Linked DNA regions of Oryctolagus cuniculus. The protein of the gene in region 3 binds, or shares a complex with, the protein of the main gene of each other region. Links are inferred from orthologs where the notes say so. Each region holds a gene or a part of one and is shown on either strand. Other genes may lie near its edges.

Evidence for each region.
Region 1: FAM8A1 (region 3) and UBE2J1 share a complex: the UniProt entries of both Homo sapiens proteins name them as parts of the HRD1 complex. The link is inferred for Oryctolagus cuniculus from reciprocal best matches to the Homo sapiens genes FAM8A1 and UBE2J1.
Region 2: FAM8A1 (region 3) and HERPUD1 share a complex: the UniProt entries of both Homo sapiens proteins name them as parts of the HRD1 complex. The link is inferred for Oryctolagus cuniculus from reciprocal best matches to the Homo sapiens genes FAM8A1 and HERPUD1.

What each region holds. Positions count from the first base shown.
Region 1 is NC_091436.1:83,178,037-83,181,568, reverse strand, and holds part of UBE2J1 (ubiquitin-conjugating enzyme E2 J1), read right to left. Parts: intron 1,693-3,532; coding exon 1,619-1,692; intron 382-1,618; coding exon 250-381; intron 1-249. UniProt on the Homo sapiens protein: Catalyzes the covalent attachment of ubiquitin to other proteins. Functions in the selective degradation of misfolded membrane proteins from the endoplasmic reticulum (ERAD) and is essential for cells to recover from ER stress.
Region 2 is NC_091449.1:40,584,889-40,589,110, reverse strand, and holds the start of HERPUD1 (homocysteine-responsive endoplasmic reticulum-resident ubiquitin-like domain member 1 protein), read right to left. Parts: upstream 2,832-4,222; 5' UTR 2,433-2,831; coding exon 2,004-2,432; intron 1-2,003. UniProt on the Homo sapiens protein: Component of the endoplasmic reticulum quality control (ERQC) system also called ER-associated degradation (ERAD) involved in ubiquitin-dependent degradation of misfolded endoplasmic reticulum proteins.
Region 3 is NC_091436.1:144,840,667-144,844,987, reverse strand, and holds the start of FAM8A1 (protein FAM8A1), read right to left. Parts: upstream 2,804-4,321; 5' UTR 2,686-2,803; coding exon 1,971-2,685; intron 970-1,970; coding exon 849-969; intron 1-848. UniProt on the Homo sapiens protein: Plays a role in the assembly of the HRD1 complex, a complex involved in the ubiquitin-proteasome-dependent process of ER-associated degradation (ERAD).

The DNA.
Region 1 (3,532 bases), about 62 Mb from region 3:
TAATTCACAGACTCCTAACACCCGTGCTAGGACATTGACCCATTCGTTAGTATCATTAGCATATCCCAGATGCATCAGCTTCCTAGACATTATTTTGGGAGGGCAAATTGCTGTCCCAGGGTCCGGACCACACAAGCAAAATTATTATGTTTTACTTTCCTTCTTGATAAAAACACATGCCCTCACTATACTTTGCAGCCAGCAAAAAGAGGTAAGCCATAAGTGTTCCAAATAGCCAAGAATTCTTACCGTGAGGAGAATAATGCTAGGCGGTTTCATGGGATACTCTGGTGGCAGTACTATTCGTCCATGATAAACTCCTCCGTCAAAATCAGAATCTGGAGGCCCTCTGACTGTGAAGTGCCATTCAAACAGGTTATCCTGAACCAAAACAACAGGCCACAAGGAATCAGTAACATTAAAAAGCTGCACCATTTTTATCAATATGAATATTAGAAATATTGGGTAAGAAAAATTTAATGTTTTGTTATTGATGGACAGTTTCTAATATACAAAATGTCTCAAGGATGAAAGTTATAAATAAATAAAAACTGAAAATAAAAGCTACTTAATCTAGTTTTCATGTGCCGTAAGAGCTAATAACTTTCTCAAGCAAATACATAAAAAAATTTCCAAGGGGCAGGCATTTGGCACAGTGGTTAATATGCCACTTGGGACGCTTGCACCCCATGTCCAAGTACCTGGGTTCAAGTTTCAGCTGCACTTCTGACTCCAGCTTCCTGCTAATGTGTACCCTCAAAGGCAGTGGTAATGACTCAAATAGTTGAGTCCCTCCCATTCACAAGAGAGACCTGGAATGAGTTCCAGGTTCCTGGCTTCGGCCTGGCCTAGCACCATCTGTTGTGCATTTGGGAAGTAAACTAGTGGATGGAAGAGCTCTGTCTATCCCTTTCTATCTCTGCTATTCAAATTAAAAAGCTGAGTATTGTTACATATTCACAAATCAGATTGATTTAATTAACTGGAAATAAGTCCTTGAAAGAATACCAATTATCATACAATGAAATGATAACCATAAATTTGGATTAAGTAAGCCTTTAAACAGTATCTTTTAAAAAGGCTTATGAGCTTATTTATAAATGGTCAGTAACATTAGCACATTTGCTATTAATGTCAGCTTATAGTTACCAAGCACTTTTCAGTTGCAAAATACTTGTACATAACACTCTTACATTATTTTCTAACTATAACTATAACTATAACTATAAAACCAGCTTTAACTGTTCTCCTTTTATAAATGAGAAGACTGAAAAAAGGTAGAGACATTTGTACAAAAAGCCCAGGGTGGCTACAGAGACCCGTCATGGGACTGAAGTTTCCAAGTTCCACACCCACCACCACGCCCCCCACCAGCTCATACTCAAGACCTAACACCAACTTAGCATCTGAGACCCACTTGTCAAGAGACCAGAATCTGCTCCTTCTAAAATGAATGACTAATAAAATACTCATGAACCACAGGGAATAAACTTTATCAGTAAACTATGTTAAACACATCTGTAATGGCTCAAAGCAATGAAAAAGCAATTTTTAAGAGTTTGTTTTAAATATTAAAGTCTTAAAAATTTGTATGAAAAGTATGGAGATAGAAACTAACCTCTAAAGGCTGCGCATGGTAATGATCTGTTGGATCTTTTAATTCCGCTGCTTCTTTCATTAATCGTTTAACAGCTAAAATAAAATTCATAAAATAGAGACATTTAAAATACACTTTTCTGAGCAATTAAGTACGAGAAACTAACAAGCCTAGAGAAAAAGCTGCTACAAAGGAGAATATGTAGTTCATATACATACTGAGCATATAGCACAGGTTCAACCGGGGCTAATATAATAACAAGTGGTAGCTGGGCACTAAAAGATGGCATCCTTTAGAGAGTTATATACTAATTTAGGTATATAAGGAAGATACCACTTCAATAAGTACTCATATCTGCTTCCTATGTGGTGGCATTTATCTAAGTGCCATATTAATTCAGTCCTCAAAACATTACTAGATAGGTGCTATTGATCCCCACTTTCCATATCAGGAAACTTAGACATGGAGAATGCAAGTAGTGTGAGTCTATCTTATTAAAATGTCTGTATCAATAAAATGGATTTCATGCTCCAATCTATGATGAAGCTTGATGGGAGAATGGTGAAATCAGTGATGCTTTTAAAAAATGTAGGGGGCCAATGTCCCCAAAGAAATCAGCAGTTTACAAATGGATGACTTGTTTTAAGGAGGAACAAGATGGAGCTGAAGATGACACCCACAGCAGCAGATCATTCACATGAATTTGCAAGCGAAAACCGCTTGCTCATGCCCTAAAGGACTGATGATTAACAGCAGAAATACAGCCACTGCCACTGACATCCCTACTGGTTCAGCTTACACAATTCTGACTGAAACATTAAAGGTGAACAACTTCCTGCTTGATGGGCACCAAAACTGTTGCACCCAGATCAGCTACAGACAAGGGCAGAGCTGTCAATGGACATTTTTAACAAGTGGGATCAAGATCCTGAAGCATTTCTCCCAAGAATTGTTTACAGGAGATGAAACATGACTTTCTCAGTATTTTCCTGAAGGCAAGGCACAATCAAAGCAATGGCTACCAAGAGCTAGATGTGGTCCAATCAAAATAAAAGCACACAAGTCAAAAGTAAAGGTCACGCCACAGTATTTCAGGATGCTCATGGCATTTTGGTTGTTGACTTTTTCTGAAGGGACAAGAATGATAACATTTACTTTTTATAAAGAATTTTAATGGGAAATCACTAGGTATCCTGTTACAGTCCTGATTTCACGCCTCCTGATTCTTCCTGTTTCCTAATCTTAAGAAAATCTTTAGGGGCTGACACTGTGGCACAACAAGTAAAGCCACAGTTTGTGATGCCAGCATCCCATATCAGAGTTAATTTAAGTCCTGGCTACTCCACTTCTAGTCCATCTCCCTGCTAATGGAGATTTTCCACTGGGAAAGCAGTGGAAGGTGGCCCAAGTACTTGGGCCCCTGCCACCCATGTGGGAGATCTGGATGGAGTTCCAGGCTCCTGGCTTTGGCCTGGCTCAGTCCTGGCTATTGCAGCCATTTGGGGAGTGAACCAGCAAATGGAAGATCTCTCTGTCTCTCTCCCCCTGCCTTTCTCTCTGTTGCTCTGCCTTTCGAACAGACAAATACAACTTTTAAAACAATATTTAAAGGGCACCTATTTTTCTTCAGTTAATAATATAAAACAGACTGCACTGACACGGTTAAATTCTCAGAACTTCCAGTTCTTTGGGGCTGGACAAAATAGCTAGTGTTATCACTTACAAAAGTGTCTTGAACTTGATGAAGCTTATGTTGAGAAATAACATTTGTATTTTTACGTTTTAATTCTTTTCACAAATTTTTGAAGTCCCCTCATATAAGCATCACACACTCATATATATAATTAGAGCGATTTGGTATGTATCAGGACTCTGGGCATACAATTTAATTTTAATCAAGCATTCTTAGTCTTAAAAATAAGTTTCTAAGATTCT
Region 2 (4,222 bases), on a different chromosome or scaffold from region 3:
GTGGCGCCAGCGCTGTGGCATAGTGAGTAAAGCCACCACCTGCAGTGCTGGCATCCCATATGGGCGCCGGTTTGAGTCCCAGCTTCTCCACATCCGATCCAGTTCTCTGCTATGGGAAAGCAGCAGAAGATGGCCCAAGTCTTTGGGCCCCTGCACCTGTGTGGGAGACTCAGAAGGGCTCCTGGCTCCAGATCAGCGCAGCTCCGGCCGTTACGGCCAATTCAGGAGTGAACCAGCGGTGGAAGACCTCTCTCTCTTTCTCTACCTCTTCTTCTCTCTGTGTAACTCTTTTTTTTTTTTTTTTAATGTATTTATTTGAAAGAGTTCAACCACTAGAGAAGATGTCAAAACTACAGCTGCTTGTGGATTTGAATTGTTCCCCACCCCTTTTTCGAGGCCTGAATCAACAAAAAAGAAAAAGAACTGACTTAAGGGGCCTGTGACACTGGCATCCCATATGAGCACTGGTTCCAGTCCCAGCTGCTCCACTTCCCATCCAGCTCCCTGCTAAAGCACCTAGAAAAAGCAGTGGAAGATGGCCCAAGTGCTTGAGCCCCCGACACCCAGGGGAGACCCGGATGAAGCTCCTGGCTTTGGCCTGGCCCAGCCCAGGCTGTGGGGGCCAACTGGGGAGTGAAGCAGCAGATGGAAGATCTTTGTTTCTTCCCCCTTCTCTCTATAACTTTTTCAAACAGTATTAAAAAAATAAAATAAAAGCTAACAAAAAAGTTAAATGTTAACTATTCTAAAGTCGGAAGTCTCACATTATACCATTTTATACTACAGAAAACAAATGCTGAGCATGCTCCAGCAGTAATTTGTAAATACCAATGTGTTCACATGACAGATCTTTCTGAGGTCGTCACACTCAGGGGAGTGATGCTCCGCACCTGCCCCTCGCCTATCTGTGCACCTCGAGGCCACCTCATTTCCTGGAAGCAGCTCCCAAGAAATTGGAGAGGCAAGCGGTGAATTGCAAAGGCCACGGGAACGGGAGGTGACGGGATACACAGGCCAAAAAACCACAGGTCCGAGGGGCAGTCCACGTCCACGTTCCCAACCAGGAAGGAAAAGGCGCCGAGGACACGCGCGCTCCCACGGGTCGGCCCTCCTCCTGCCCCACGGAGGATCACAGGGTGGTGGGCAGCGAGCAACCCGGCCGACGCTTACGCAACATCCGAGTGCAAAGTAAATACAGGAAGGTCCGGCTCGCGGCGGCCTCGCGTCACGTGGCGGGGCGCGAGGGCGGCGCTAAGGGCGATGTTGACAGATGCGTCAACCAAAACAAAGCAAGGAGAGCTCCCCAAACGGGGTGGGGTGGGGGGGCCCGGGTCTGAAAACCAGCCTCGGGCCGACTCCTCCCGCCTGGCTCCCGGCTCCATCGCCCAGTGCCCGCGGCTCCTCCCTGCGCCACCAGCGGGGAGCCCCGCGCGACGGGGAGGAGCCGCGGGCCAGCGGGCGGAAGGTGGGCAGCGAGGGAAGAGCCACGTCCTCTTCTGGGCGTGGGACCTCAAGCGCACGGCGCCCGGGCGCTGCCCGGGTCTCTGGGTAGGGCCCCGGGCTGGCACCTGCACGGTCCCCTCCCCGCTAAGACGCCGCGCGCAGCACGGATTCCTGCTTGGATGCCGAGGGCGCAGGCCTGGTTAGGAACACTTAGTCGCCTGGGTCTTTTGGGGCAAAGGACGGACTGGAGGGTGACGTAGCTCAGCCAAGGTCAAACTGCTGTTTTCGGCGGCCTGGCTCGGGTGGGGGGAGCCAGGCCTGGGGAGGTGGGTTTGGGGACGTGGGGGAGGCGGAGTGAGTGACAAGCCAGCAGCCCGTCAGAAAGGCGGGGTGAAGACGGCCCAGACCCTGTGGGTGACAGCTCCCGGGCAAGGAGAGGGGCGCCCGCGGCGGGAGGGGACCTCGGCCCTGGGGGAAGTGCCCAGGAGGGGACCCGCCGTCGTGGGGGGAGCTGCCGCACGGAGGGACTCCCGGAAAGGGGGAGGCGGGGCCCCTCTTACCGGGCGCTCGGGGTAGACGCGACTCAGGTGGGCCTTGAGGTGGCCGACGCTCCAGCTGCGGTCTCCGCTCAGCTCCAAGTCGCGGTGGCGCTGGTTGGGGCTCTTCACCAGCAGCGTGACGGGCTCGGGCTCCGGCTCGGGCTCCATGGCGGCGGAGCTGTAGGCTCGGCGGCGCTCCCAGATGCCAGGTAGGCGGCGGCGCACCGGCAAGATCCGCAACGACTGTTCAACTCTCTGGGCCGCGCGCCCCCGCCTCAGGCGCCTTTTATAGGCGGCCCGCGCCCGGGCTCTGCGGACAGACTCTTCTGTGGCTGTCGCCCATTGGCTGAGACGGGGGTCACTGCCCAACGTGGCCCAATCGGCGTCCGGATCCGGGGGGCAGCGGGGCGGGCCAAACCCGCGGGCACGGCTGATGCAACCAGCGGCCATTGCGTCACCCGGAGTCGCGGCTGCAGCCCTGGAGCCTGGGTTCGGCGGCCATGTTGGGGTGCGCTGCGCCCGGATGGAGGCTCGGCCCTGAGGAGACAAGGGGCTCCCCAGCTCGGGCTGCTTAAGGTCCCTGAGGACTGGAGTGAGGCGGGGGCAGCACAAGCCTGGCCAACTCCCAGTTTGGCAGTGTCTGCAAATTGTTTCCTCATAAAGCAACACCCCCGCCCTTTTCACCCCCAAGCACCAAGTCCCACTTCCCCTTTCCCTTCTCCTGGGGGCCCCCAGCAGCCTGTGCTGCGGGGGCCTGGGCCCACAGAACTGCTGATGAACCCGTTTCGGAGAACACCTGGCTGCCCAGGAGAAACAGAGCCCACGCTTCCTTGGGTTGAGAACATGGGGGCATCCGGGCATCTTGCAAATTTGCCTCTGGCCCTGAACTTGCCTGTTCCACCCGTGAAGACCATTGCCCTTATTGTGACAGCTGACACTGGGAGAAGAGTCGCTTTATGGGATACTCAGCACATGTTTTACATTGGGGCTGAGAGGGGAACAGGTTCCTAGAACGTGACCACAGAGGCCTCCCGTTTGTCTGTGGAGGAGGAAAAAATTCTTGGAAAACAAGACTGATATTGCCGTGGCCCTATCCCTGCCCCAGTCCTATTGGGATTTCTGTTTTTCCAGATGTGTAGGAGCCTGCAGGGCTGGAGAGTAGTGGGAAGAGCCTTCAGCTGGGGGGTAGGGGACATATTGGCCAGCTGGGGCTGCTCCAACAAAGTACTACAAAATGGGTGGCCTACACGACGGCGATTTTTTGTCTCCCAGTTCTGGGAGCTGCAAACTTGAAATCGAGGTGGTAGGCAGTGTCGGAACCTTCTTTCTTTCTTTTTTTTCTTTTTTTTGGACAGGCAGAGTGGACAGTGAGAGAGGGAGAGAGAAAGAGAAAGGTCTTCCTGTACTGTTGGTTCACCCTCCAATGGCGCACTGCGCTGATCCGAAGCCAGGAGCCAGGTGCTTCCTCCTGGTCTCCCATGGGGTGCAGGGCCCAAGCACTTGGGCCACCCTCCACTGCCCTCTCGGGCCACAGCAGAGAGCTGGCCTGGAAGAGGAGCAACTGGGACAGAATCCGATGCCCCTACTGGGACTAGAACCCGGGGTGCCAGCACCGCAGGCGGAGGATTAGCCTATTGAGCCGAGGCGCCGGCCCGGAGCCTTCTGATGTCTGAGAGAACCTGCTCCGGGCTGCTCTCCAGCCTCTGGAGTTTGCTGGCTGGCAGGCCTTGGCATTCCTTGCCTGGTGGGTGCCTCGTCCCCATCGCTGGCTTCCTGTTTGTTCACATCGGATCCTCCTGTGTTGTGTGTGTGCGTTTCATGCCCTCTTCCCTCACTGTGTGTCTGTTCAAATTTCCCCTTTTCATGAGGACACCAGTCACCACTCTGGTGACGTCATCTTAATTTGATCATCAACAGAGACCCTATTTCCAGCGCATAGGCACTGGGGGTCAGAATGTCAGCACTGTTTTGGAGGAAATGGTTTGTCCCCTATCTGTGGGCCTCTGCCCTTGCGTAGGAGACCTGGATGGTGTTCCTGGCTGCTGGCTTCTGCCCGGCGCAGCCCTGGGCATTGCAGCCATTTATGGAGTGAACCAGCTCTGCCTCTGTGTCCTCCCTCCCACTCCTTCTCCCCTCTCCCTCTCTAGCTCTGCTCTTAAGATGAGTAAAATAGATCTTTACAAAAATTATTATTATTTTTAAGCATCTATTTATTTGTTTGAAAGTCAGAATTAAAGAGA
Region 3 (4,321 bases):
ACATGGGAGACCCAGAAGACACTCCTGGCTCCTGGCTTCGGATTGGCACAGCTCCAGCCACTGTGGCCATTTGTGGAGTGAACCAGCTGATGGAAGACCTTCCTCTCTCTCTCTCCTCTCTGTAATTCTATCATTCAAATAAATAAAAAAATCTAAAAAAAAAAATTGACCACATGTTTGTATCTTGACATGGTCACTTAGTACTTCTGTAACCTTTAAAATTCTGGGCCTAGGTTCTCATATACTCAAATTTCAATCTCTATAAAATGGAGGTATTAGCCTCTACCTCATAGTGGTACTAAGATGAAATAAGACGCCATATAAAGACGCGAGCTAAGTGCCTAGCATACAGAAAGTGCTTAGCAAATGAGAACTGCTGTTATGATTATTTTAATCTCAGGAGAGGGTTATTCAAATAAATGTCTCACTTTGCAGTTCTCTTGGGACTGGGCTCATGGTAAGCAATGCCATTTGGAAATACATCTAGTTGATAATTAGGAGTTCACCCACCAAAAGCTCTTTATATTTCTGTCGTTAGAGACTCTCTCTACAGAATAATAAGAGAGAAATTGCTTCCTGGCCCAAGAATAGTTGAATGAAAACAAACCAGGATTGGAGGATCATTTTACCTACTTTTGATGGGTGAAATTCTCACAGATCTTACAGAATGTATGAGGAGTTTTTTTCTCCTTTGTAGTTATTTCTTAGGTCCAGTAGGAAATAAATCCGACAGAGCTTTTAGAAAGAAATCATGACATTATCCTTATAGTCACTTGCAGGCATGAAGAGAACTCAATAATTTCTAAACAGTAGAAATTCAAACTCTTCTACAAAGGTGCTTAACTTACTTTATTCCACTGAGGTGCATAATGCTTAAGACAATGGTTGCTTTTATAAAGAACAGAATAAAGAAATCCACCATCTCCGCCATAAATCTGTGGGCCAAGGATGGAATAACATACTCCCTGCCTGTAAGTTAAAAAAAAGAAAATTATGAAAAAATGATCATTTCACAAAGGCTTTAGTGCACAAGGCAAGTAAGAATGGAGAAAGCAAAGTCAAGGTACAACCTAGTAATTATGAATATTCACAACCTTGCATCAGTTAGTCATACTGATCCCAACAAGAGTATGTATTACTAAAATACAGCGATACCACTGCACTGTGTTTAATAAACTGCTTAAAATTTATTTTCATCACTCTAATGTTCAAAGATTGATTTCACAGCTGTGTTTGATTCAAGTACCCAAAACATTTCAGCAGGACTCAAATTAGGAGAATCCAGGTGATCACACCTAGGCGACACTCAATTAAACTTTAAGAGAAAAAGGTAAAACTCGAGTAAACTATAGTATAAACACCCACGGTATAAAGTACAGCATAAATAAATACTGTGTAGAGTAAATCCCGGTATCTCACATTTCCCTCCCCTCAGTCATTGTTTTACTTTCTAGAAAATAAATCCGCGGGTCATCAACCTGTCATCCTCAATTCTGATTCAGGCTCATATACAGGCACCAACTGGTTCTCGGTCCACATATCGGTGGCTGAATACAAACTCTAACAAGCGTAGCTAACTAAAGCCATTTCTAGTTCCCAAGCAGAAGTTAACAAGGAGGCTCCGAAAGCAGTAAGCAGGGGCCAGCCAACACTTGGGAACTCCATTTGCATTCATGTAAATCCTCCGGATCGGTCAGGCCCACAGCCCCTAGGCAGCGCACTCCAGCATTGCCAGTCAAGTCTCTGCACAAGTGGGTCTAACTCTCCACCTCGCTCTCCAGGGCAGATTCCTCCCCGTGGGAATCGACCCGGGCGCGAGGCCCTCGATCTGCTCTCAAGGTGGACGGCACTGGGGTGTAAGGCCCGGGCACACTCCCGGGAGCCGCGGCCGTCCCCACGGGGGCGCAAACCCTGCAGGCAGCCTCCCCGAAGACCCCCTCGGGATACCCCCCGCGCCTCGCGCTGCTCACCTGCCTGCCGCCCGCTCTCGCTGGCGGCGCGCGAAGGCGCGGCGGATCCCGCACGAGTCGCTGGAGCGGCCCGGACCGAGCCCTGCACGTGAGGAGCCCGCGGCCCCAGGCCCGCCACCGGGGCCGGGGTGCTGATGCCCGCAGCCGCCCCCGCCTCCGCTCCCGCGGCGCCGGCGCTCGGGAAGTAAAAGGGGTTGTAATAGGCCAGCTGCGGGGGCGGCGGCGCCGCGGCCTGGGGGGCGGCGGCGGCCGTAGCGTAGCTGGGAGCGGGCGGCGGGGGGCTGCAGTAGGCGGGGAAGGCGGCCAGGCCGCTGTGCCAGGTGAGGTAGCCGCAGTAGGACTGCCACAGCCACTCGTGCACCTGCCGCGAGTACTCGCGGGCGCTCAGCCGCGCCGGCTTCTCCCGCAGCGCCTCGGCCTCGGCCGCCTCGCAGCCCGCCGGCTCCTGCAGCCCCGCGCCGGAGCTCGGGGCCGCCTCTCTTCGCCTCCTGAGCTCCCGCTGCGGCTCCGACTCCTCCGGGGCAGCGGCGGAGGCGGGCGCGAGGGCCGGGGCTGGCGGCCGGCCCGGGGCCTGGGGTTCGACTGGCGCCGCGTCTCGGGGACAAGGGCCGGCGGCTGCGGGAGGGCCTCTCAGGGAAGGGACAGGCGCGTGGTCCCCTCCGCCATCGTCCTGCCCGGGAGGGCGACCTCGGGCTTCCTCGGGCCCTTCTGCCATCGTCGCCTCGGCAGCACCCTTCGCGGTACCTGTCACTGCGCCGTCTCCCTCCCCTCAGAGGCCCCTCCCCAACGGCCCTTTCGCCACCGCAGCAGCCGCAGGCGTCAACAATCCGCCACCGGAAGCGGAAACCCCGCCCCTCGGGGGGCGTCGCTGATCGCTGCGCGGGGCCGCCGGAGGCCGGGAGGTTGGGCTGTTGTGTCTGGTGTGGGGTTTTTGGGTTCCTGTCCCGTCGGCAGTCCGGCTCCCCACGCCTCTTTATGGTTAATCGAGTGATGTCTAAGGCCTGAGGCCTCTCTAGAGAATCCCGGGGGGTTGGCGCCGGATGTCCCGTGAGAAACTTCGGCTGGATGGAGGGGGATTTCCGGGACGGGCCCGGGGCCAGCGCCGCCATTGCCCTCGCCGAGCCGAGAGCGTGGTTCGCCATTTGTGCTCGAGAATGTCTGTGCACTTGGGAGAAACACATCGACAGCCAAACTGAACTGGGACTTGTTTTGGGATGCGACGGGAAGAGAGATTGCTGATTTAGAAGCTGGTCTTGGTCCTGATGCTGGAGCTAGCGAGCCTGTGTCCATAAAAACTTTCCCGCTGCCGCAGAGCGGAACCTTTCCTTAAGCCTGTTTTCCTGTTGGGGAAAGAACCCCTGATTATATCCAGGGTTTGGGAGCCTTTTAAAAAAGATTTATTTATTGAAAATCAGTTACAGAGAAGGAGAGGCAGAGAGAGAGAGGTCTTTCATCCGATGGTCCACTTCCCACCTGGCTGCAATGGCCAGAGCTGCACCAATCCGAAGCCAGGACCCAGCAGCTTCTTTCGTGTCTCCCACGTGGGTGCAGGGGCCCAAGGGCTTGGGCCATCTTCTGTTTCCCAGGCCATAGCAGAGAGTTGGATGGGAAATGGAGCAGCCAGGTCTCGAACCCGAGCCCATATGGGATGCTGGCACTGCAGGCAGTGGCTTTACCTGCTACGCCACAGCGCTGTTCCCACAGACTAGTATTTTAATATGCTTTCCCATGTCCTTAACTGGATTAGTTCCCTCAGTCGTAGTAGTATAACTTTGGCCAGAATCAGGGCCAACAGGGGCCAAGAGCCCATGGAGTATTTACTGATGATGCCCAGAATAATTTTTGACTGCTCAGGGGCATCTAAAAGGCTTAACGTCTAAGAAGCTAATGAGCTGGATAGAGACTTGGACACAACACTTGAAAAACTATTAAGACTGAGTATTGGGCTGGCGTTGTGGCTTAGCAGGTGAAGCCACCACCTGTGATGCCTGCATCCCTTAAGGCCCAGGTTCAAGGCCTAACTGCTCCACTTCCCATCCAGCTCCTTGCTGATGCACCTGGGGGTGCCAGCACCCTTGTGGGAAACCTAGAAGAACCTCCTGGCTCCTGGCTTCAGGCTGTTGTAGCTATTTGGGGAGCGAACCAGCAGATGGAAGATCTCACACTTTTTCTCTAAACTCTGCCTTTAAAATAAGATCGTGGGGCCAGCGCTGTGGCTTGGCAGGTAAAGCTGCTGCCTGCAGTGCTGGCTTCCCATAGGGGCTCTGGTTCAAGTCCCAGCTGTTCCACTTCCAATCCAGCTCTATTCTGTGGCCTGGGAAAGCAATAGAGGATAGCTCAAGTCCTCGGGC